2 linked regions of the Mus musculus genome follow. The protein of the gene in region 1 purifies or fractionates together with the protein of each later gene. This does not show direct contact. Links are inferred from orthologs where the notes say so. Each region holds a gene or a part of one and is shown in the gene's direction. Other genes may lie near its edges.

Evidence for each region. Proteins that work in one complex are often made in the same cells at the same time.
Region 2: the proteins of Cluap1 (region 1) and Ift27 purify together in Homo sapiens (affinity purification with mass spectrometry; 3 studies listed by BioGRID and IntAct, with this or other methods). This does not show direct contact. The link is inferred for Mus musculus from reciprocal best matches to the Homo sapiens genes CLUAP1 and IFT27.

The regions. Positions count from the first base shown.
Region 1 is NC_000082.6:3,932,885-3,936,533, forward strand, and holds part of Cluap1 (clusterin-associated protein 1), read left to right. Parts: intron 1-822; coding exon 823-930; intron 931-3,649. UniProt on the Homo sapiens protein: Required for cilia biogenesis. Appears to function within the multiple intraflagellar transport complex B (IFT-B). Key regulator of hedgehog signaling.
Region 2 is NC_000081.6:78,163,983-78,167,631, reverse strand, and holds part of Ift27 (intraflagellar transport protein 27 homolog), read left to right. Parts: intron 1-502; coding exon 503-562; intron 563-1,598; coding exon 1,599-1,658; intron 1,659-2,367; coding exon 2,368-2,485; intron 2,486-3,332; coding exon 3,333-3,442; intron 3,443-3,649. UniProt on the Homo sapiens protein: Small GTPase-like component of the intraflagellar transport (IFT) complex B that promotes the exit of the BBSome complex from cilia via its interaction with ARL6. Not involved in entry of the BBSome complex into cilium. Prevents aggregation of GTP-free ARL6.

The DNA.
Region 1 (3,649 bases):
CTGTAATGGGATCTGATGCCCTCTTCTGGTGTGTCTGAAGAAAGCAACAGTGTGTCATATATTTAAAATAAATATATTTAAAATGATGGCACTAAAAATAGCCTTTTATGCAGTGTATGCCTGAATGCCTCCCCTAATGAATAGATACAATTTACTTAAAAAAAAAATTTTTTTTTTCTAGAAGAAAAGTATTGATTGTCTGTGTATGTGGTATTAGGGATTAGACTCAGAGCTTTGCAGGAAAAATAATGAAATAAATAAGCACATGTGTTAGCCCTGAGCCACAACCCCATCAACGTATGTATGCCTTTATTCTAGAATTTTCCCCAGTAAGAATGTCACTTCAGCGCTGTCTCAGAACAGCTTCCTCTGAAGCCCAGGCCTGGCTCTCCCCTCACCTCCATCCCACCCGCCTTGTTCTTTCACATCCACTTCTATCTTTGTTAGGATCAAGGCTCTTAAATTAGCAATATGGCCTGACAAAGAACAGAGTGGATTTCTCCCCCGTTAACCAGGACTTCCACTTTGACAGCCAGCTACTCGATTTTGTAAAAATTTCAGACTGTCATAATGCTTTGAAAACACCTGGTCCATGTTCTTTTCACTTTGAAAAATTGCTCAAAGCAAATACAGCATATTATTGTCTACATTAACATTTCACGAAGTACCTGTGAATAAATCCAGGGAGTCTCATAAAATCTAATGGATGAAAAGAGAACTAAGAAAGGCAGATGATTTTGCACTGGAGCCATAGGAGGCAGAAGAGGTTACACTGTAATGGAAGACCTGCTCTCTTACTCTGCCTTGTGGTCTTTCTGCTAGGCAATGATGACTCAGACATAGACATCCAAGAGGATGATGAATCAGACAGCGAGTTGGAGGACAGACGGATGTCTAAGCCTCGGACAGCGATGGAGGTGCTCATGCAAGGTAATGTAACTCCTTCTGTCACCCAGTTCCTCGTGCCTGTTTCTCAGAACTCCAAGGGCAAGCTTGGGTGAGTGCTGCTTAGAACTGCAAACCACAGTGTGCTGAGAAGGGTCCCTGGAAACACTTCCTGTCCCAATCTGTTCTTCAGGATCTGTCTCTCAAACTGCATTGCCTCTAATAGTCCTTTTGTTTGATTCATGTAGCTAAGCTGATCTTGAATTCACAATGTACCTCAAGATGACCTTCAACCTGATACTCCTGCTTCGGCCTCCTAAGCATTGAGATACAGGATGCAGCACTATGCCCTGCGCATGTAATATTCTTATCTCTGTCCCTGGGAAGAGCTGGTTCACATTTGTGGTTTCAGATTTCCCACAGATATCTCAGAAATGGCCTCTGTATCTGAGCTCTCTGCACTATTTGTTTTGGTCAGTGCAGGTCTATCCCTTGTGGCCAAGGAATTAACACAGAAAAGGTGTTACATAAGAGCCTCTTACAAACCTCATTTGATGGATGGGAGCCAACACTAGAGAAACTGTAACTTGCTCAATGTTAGTTTTGTTCCAAATTCTGCTTAAGTACTTGCAGAGTAAAATCAGGTAGCACAGTTCCAGAACCTATGGCTAGGATCTGCAAATGCCATAAGACTTTGCACTTGTCTAACAGTTCTGGGCCCCCCCCCCCAGCAGCGCCCCTCTCCTCCTGCACTGTCTGGAGCCTAGTCACATTTTCATTCTGAAGCTTCCACCTCGATCCAAGTACAAGTGACACTGGTTCACAAAAGAGGAATGTTTTTTCTTTTTCCATAGATAGCAACAAAGTTCTACTGAATGTGACCTAACAGTGGAGTTCAGTGATGTTTCCTCCCCAAATACTAAGGAGATATGTTTTTCTTTTTTAACTTTTTATTGGTTCTTTGTGGGTTTCACATCATGCACCCCAGTCCCCTCATATCCACCCTTGCAACTACCCCACCCCCAATAAAACACACACAAACAAAGCACAGGAAACATCTCATCATGGAAGCTGTAGTGTGTCACAGTGTGTCCCACAGTCTACCCCTCTGTCCACACATCTCTTGCAATGAGTCATTGCAATGAGTCACTCATCTGGTTCAAGATCTCTGACTTCTGTGACACCGTCAACATTGGATCGTCATTAGAACTTCTCCTGGTTATCCTATTGTTGCCCCGTGTCATGGAGATCCTGTAGACTGACCCTTTCACGCCTCCCAACCATTCACTAATGATAGAGATTTTGGAATGGACCAATTCAGAGTCCTAAATCTGGGCCTGGGTGGAAACTGGCTCTCCCTTATCCCCACCACCAGGGCTAGCTAGCTCTCCAGCACTGCTCCGGCTAGGCTAACAACAGGAGGCAGGGTCAGCCCTCCTGCTCTTGTGCCCTAGGGGCCAGCTCACCTGTACCCATGCCTCCAGAGCCAGCTCCACTGTGCTGCCCAGCAAGGAGCAGGGCCCAGTCTCCTAAGTGCTGCAGCCTGCGAGGGCTGGGCCAGTACTCACACCCCCGGGACAGGCTCACCTGTGCCTTCACCGTAAGTGCCAGCTCCACTGTATTGCCCAGGCAAGATACAGGACCCATTCTATAGAATGCTGCAGCCAGCAAGGGGCAGGGCCAGCTCACTCTCCCTTGTGATTCCAGGGTTGGCATTCCTGACTGCCTTAGGTGACAAGGGGAAAAGGGGCAGAGGGCTAGTAGCAGGGCTAGCTTTTCCTCACTCTGTCCTTGGGGCTTGCTCACCCACTGCCCCTCAGCCAGTGCCAGCACTACTGTGCTGATTAGGTGAGGTACAGGGCCCACTTTCCCGAGTGCTTCGCCTGACCAGGGGCAGGGCCAGCTCTCCTGACTGCCACACTCGGTGTGCTGCAAAGGAGGCAAGGCTTCACCCTGCACCTATGCTGCCTCATGGTAGACAAATGGTAAGGCGCTCTCCCGAGTTCTCGACCTCTGGGCTGGCTCACATGCACTGCCCCCACCCCAATACCCCACACCCACTCATGCCACCAGGGTCAGCTCTGCTGTGCTGCTCAGGCGAAGTGCAGGGCCTGCTCTCCTCAGTGCTGTAGTTGGTAGAGTCAGGGCCAGCTCTCCCAAGCTCATGACCCTGAAGGCAGCTTTGTGGGGTGGGGTATATCACTTCTGTGTCTGTGCCACCCCATGGCAGATGAGTGACGAGATCAGCTCTTCTACACTCATGCCCTCAGGGCAGGCTCACTCACTTCTGCCAGCAGGTCCAGCTCCACTGTGCTACCTGGGCAAGGTGTAGACCACCTCTCCCAAGTGCTGCCTCTGGGGGGCGGGGGACAGTTCTCCAGAGCAGGACATCCAGTGAGAGGCAGGCCAGTTATGCTCAGCCCCTGGACATCTGCATGGCCTCCATCAGCTGCCCTGGCCAGGACATCCCCATGTTCTCTAGTGGAAGTATGAGCCACGGACACCAACACCAACCTCTGCCACAGTGTAGCCAAAAACTCACACATGGCCCTGAGTGGCAGCTAGGCTAGGACCTCATCATGGCCCCAGGTGGTGAGTCTGGCCACTCCTAACAAGCTACCCTCTCCACCCCAGTTCCATCTCTTCATCATGCTCAAGCTGCTCCACTTCTCCTTCCATCTGACCAGCACATAGTTGTTCATTGTGGAGGCTCCCACTGCAGGCTGGCCGCATGGCTGGTGGGCCCCTGGGCGACATCCTCCAT
Region 2 (3,649 bases), on another chromosome or scaffold:
AACAGGAGAGAAGAAGGTTGGGAGAGAAAGGGTGAGTCCCTATCATTAGAAACTACTTCCTGGTGATTAGGGGCATCAAGTTCCTTGGAGAAAGACCTTTCTCAGGACATTAGAGAGCAGGAACAGAGGGAGCAGCAGCCTCCTCTCTCAGACTATGGTATTTTTCTACCCTCTGAATAGTCCCCAGAATTCCAAAGGTAAACTATCTTCAGCTGGCAAAGTCGCGCCCCCACCAGAGCACGAGGCAAATCACAGTCAGCTGCTGAGGACAGACTGAAGCAGTCCCACATCTCCCACCTGGGATTAAAACAACAACAAAAATATGAACGTAACATATCTCTTTTCTTAAACCAAAACTCTCACTAAAGAGATTGGGAAGTCCTGACGGCCTCTGACTTCTGCTTGGCTGGGAACACCTCCTTCAAGGAAGTGGGGACTTGGCTCATTCTGATTGCCCCAGTGTGGGGCCCCCTAAGGCCTGTGATCTTGGTGTCCCCTGCAGACAACTGGAGTGGATTTGGTGGTGAAGACAGTGCCAGTTCTTGACACAAATGACAGTGTGGTGAGTGCTACCCTGGCCCTGAAGTCACTTGGGGCTGCTCCTGTGAGCTGGGGTTCCCTCACTCCAAGGGTAATAGAATCGTGGAACAAGGACACGGGGAACCTTCGAGGGAGGGCCTAGGGTACCGGGGAGGGGATTGGGATGCCAGGCCTCACCAAAAGGAACTTGTTATCTTTTATCTGAGTTCTTAACCGGGTCCCTCCAAAGACTCTCACCGCTCTTGGGGGAGACTGGTGCAGCATCGTGTCATGTTTGTTTGGCCTCTCCCAGGCTGCATTCATCGGATGTGTAAGGAGACATCTGAGCAAAAAGAAAGGCACAGAAGTCCCCCCCCACAGGAAAGGCTGAGACAGGAACCACACTGTACAGGGCCAGTCCGTGGAGCAGGCAGTGCTGCCCTTCAGGGTCTAGAGCCAGGCAGGAGGTTGGGCACCAGGATGGGGCTCAGGGACCTCTGAGGGGGTTTCAAGCAAGCAGCAGCATCTGGGAGGGTCTCCACCCGGGCTGGGAAGGCTCGGAACTCTGTGTACAGAGCCCGTGTTCACTGCCTCAGAGCAGTGACAGGCTGTCCTACTTTAAGCGCCTTCCCCAGGCCTCCTCAGCGACCTCCTTTACCAAGAATTGTTAGACGCTCTGAGAGTCCATTTGGTTAACAAAGTACAGAGTGGCCTTTTGGACACCAGGACCCTTGCCAGCCTGCTTAGCATTCTGTCTTGCCAGGTGGGCAGTCAGCCTCCTCCCCCTCCCCCCCACCCCCCGCGCGCGATTTTTGTGCTTGGGGTTGGACAAGGTGAGCCACCTGCCACCCAGGTCACACCAGGTGGACAGAAGCCTATACCTCTGCCTCTCGGACACTCCGGTCTGTTCTCGCCATCTCTCTGGGGCATCGGAGACGGTAGCGCACGTGTGAAGGCAGCCACGCGCATGGGCATGCTCACTCGCTCTCCACGCAAACCTTGTGTATGGGAAGCTGAGTGGGACAGCTCGGCCCAACTCTCCCTGCACTCTCTTCTGACACGAGCTTTTCTGGTCCCAGGAACTCTTCATTTTTGACTCAGCCGGCAAGGAGCTGTTCTCTGAAATGCTGGATAAGTTGGCAAGTAGTGTGCTGATTTTTTTTTCTTTTCCTTCACTACCCACTTCCGCCCAACCCCTTGTCCCTGTGGGGCTCCTGGTGGGATGCCCCAGGAGCATCAGAAGTGACCAGGCAGGATCTTCTAAGGGGCATCCCTGCTACTGGGTCTTTGAGCCACATGGCAAATATAGATGTTCCTCCTTACCCATCCATCATGGTCAGCCCCAGCTCCAGAATGTGCCAGGAGCTACGAAGCTGGTCAGTCCTTGTAGCTGCCCAATGCCCCCCCCCCAGCCTGCTGTTTTTAATAGCCCTTCCTGAGCGTTTTTCAACCCTCCCCAGTCAGCATCCTCTCTGAGCTGTTTGCTTCGGCTACAAAGTGAGACTCTCCCAGACAACCTTACTGACTGGGGCATCTCAGTGATTGACAGGCAGCTCCTGATGAGCGGTGCCTGCCTCTGCCAGCCACTGCCATCTTCTGAGTAGGGATTCCCCCAACCCAGGTTCAAGTTCCTCTTTCCCTTGCTTGTCCCTCATGAGTGCCACTGCACCTGGCATCCCTTCATCTGTGGTGACCTGTGGCCATCTGTGGGTGGGACAGTTTCTCAGCTCACACCCCTCTCTTACCCACCTCCCCCCGAAGCCCATTTTTCTCCCCCTCCCCACCCCTGTCCCCATCCAAGAGTCCCTGTCACATCCCTAAAGCAGGCTTCTCCTGTCTCTCGCTTAGTGGGAGAATCCCAACGTCCTGTGCCTTGTCTATGATGTGACCAATGAACAGTCCTTCATCAGCTGCACCAAGTGGTTGGAGAAGGTCCGGTCTCAGACTTCAGGCATCTCCCTCCCAGGTATCAAACTGTAGATGGGCCTTTCTCCAACTCTGACTCCGTCCTTCAACTCAAGGGTCTCATCAGGTCACTGTGCAAGCCATGGTGGAAATAGAACAGGAGCCTGAATCCCTGACTCTCTGACCTCAGCGTCCTTGCTCAGCCTCTAAATGTTCTCGAAAACCTACCGAGCATGGGGGTGGGGAGACAATGCCACCCACCAGGCAGAGCTGGGCGGGCTGAGATAAAAAGAAGGGAAGGCGCTGTGTTCCGAATGGATGTTTCCAGAAAGCTAACTCCAGGGAAGAATCCCTCATCTCCCCCTCTACACTGGGTACAAGTTACATTCCATCCCGGTTGTCACTCCTGCACGCTTTAAATCAGGTTCTTTCTCATCCCTGTGTGAGATCAACAAATTCTCCTCATTAGAGGCCAGGGAAAGCGGCCTCCAGAGACGGACTGAGAAATTAGCACAGCCAAGGCAGCTGGGAACGGAGCTCAATTACCTGAGTCCCTGAGTCTGAGCCCAGGCCCGAGATTAGCATTAATGACCACGTCCGATGTTGGCTCCATGAGCTGAGAATTAGCACAAATGCTCTTCTAAACCTGATCCAGGCCTGCCTGGTGCTTCCAGCCCTAAGGAGGTGAGGAATATAGATATATTTTTGAAGCCACGTGTGACGGCGCTGAGCTGAGCTGCCTGTGCACAGCAAAACCAGTCTGTCTTCTGTGGCCTTGGGGGACCTTCCCTGCTGGCACATATTCCCTCAAGTGGGCAGCTTCTGTCACTTGATGTGTCACACGCCCCTCTCTCTGCCGCCACCCTGCCACCTCAAAACCTAATATTGTGGTTATTTCTTTTGAGCAGGTGTTTTAGTGGGAACTAAGACAGACCTGGCTGGCCGACAAACAGTGGATTCAGCTCAGGCCCAGGTATGGGCACTGAGTCAAGGCCTGGAATTCTTTGAGACATCTGTGGTGAGTTCCCCCAACCCTCTGAGCCACTGGGATGGGGGCCCCAGTGCTAGAGGTTTGATCGTGACCTGGGACGCATCAAGTGGTTCTGCCACCAGATGCAAAATCTAAATTAGAACCGATGCTCACATTCTGCCCAGGGACTCTGCTCAGTGTGTGTCAGGAGAGTCTTCTGTATGGCACACTGTGAAGCAGGGCAGACAGCCTACC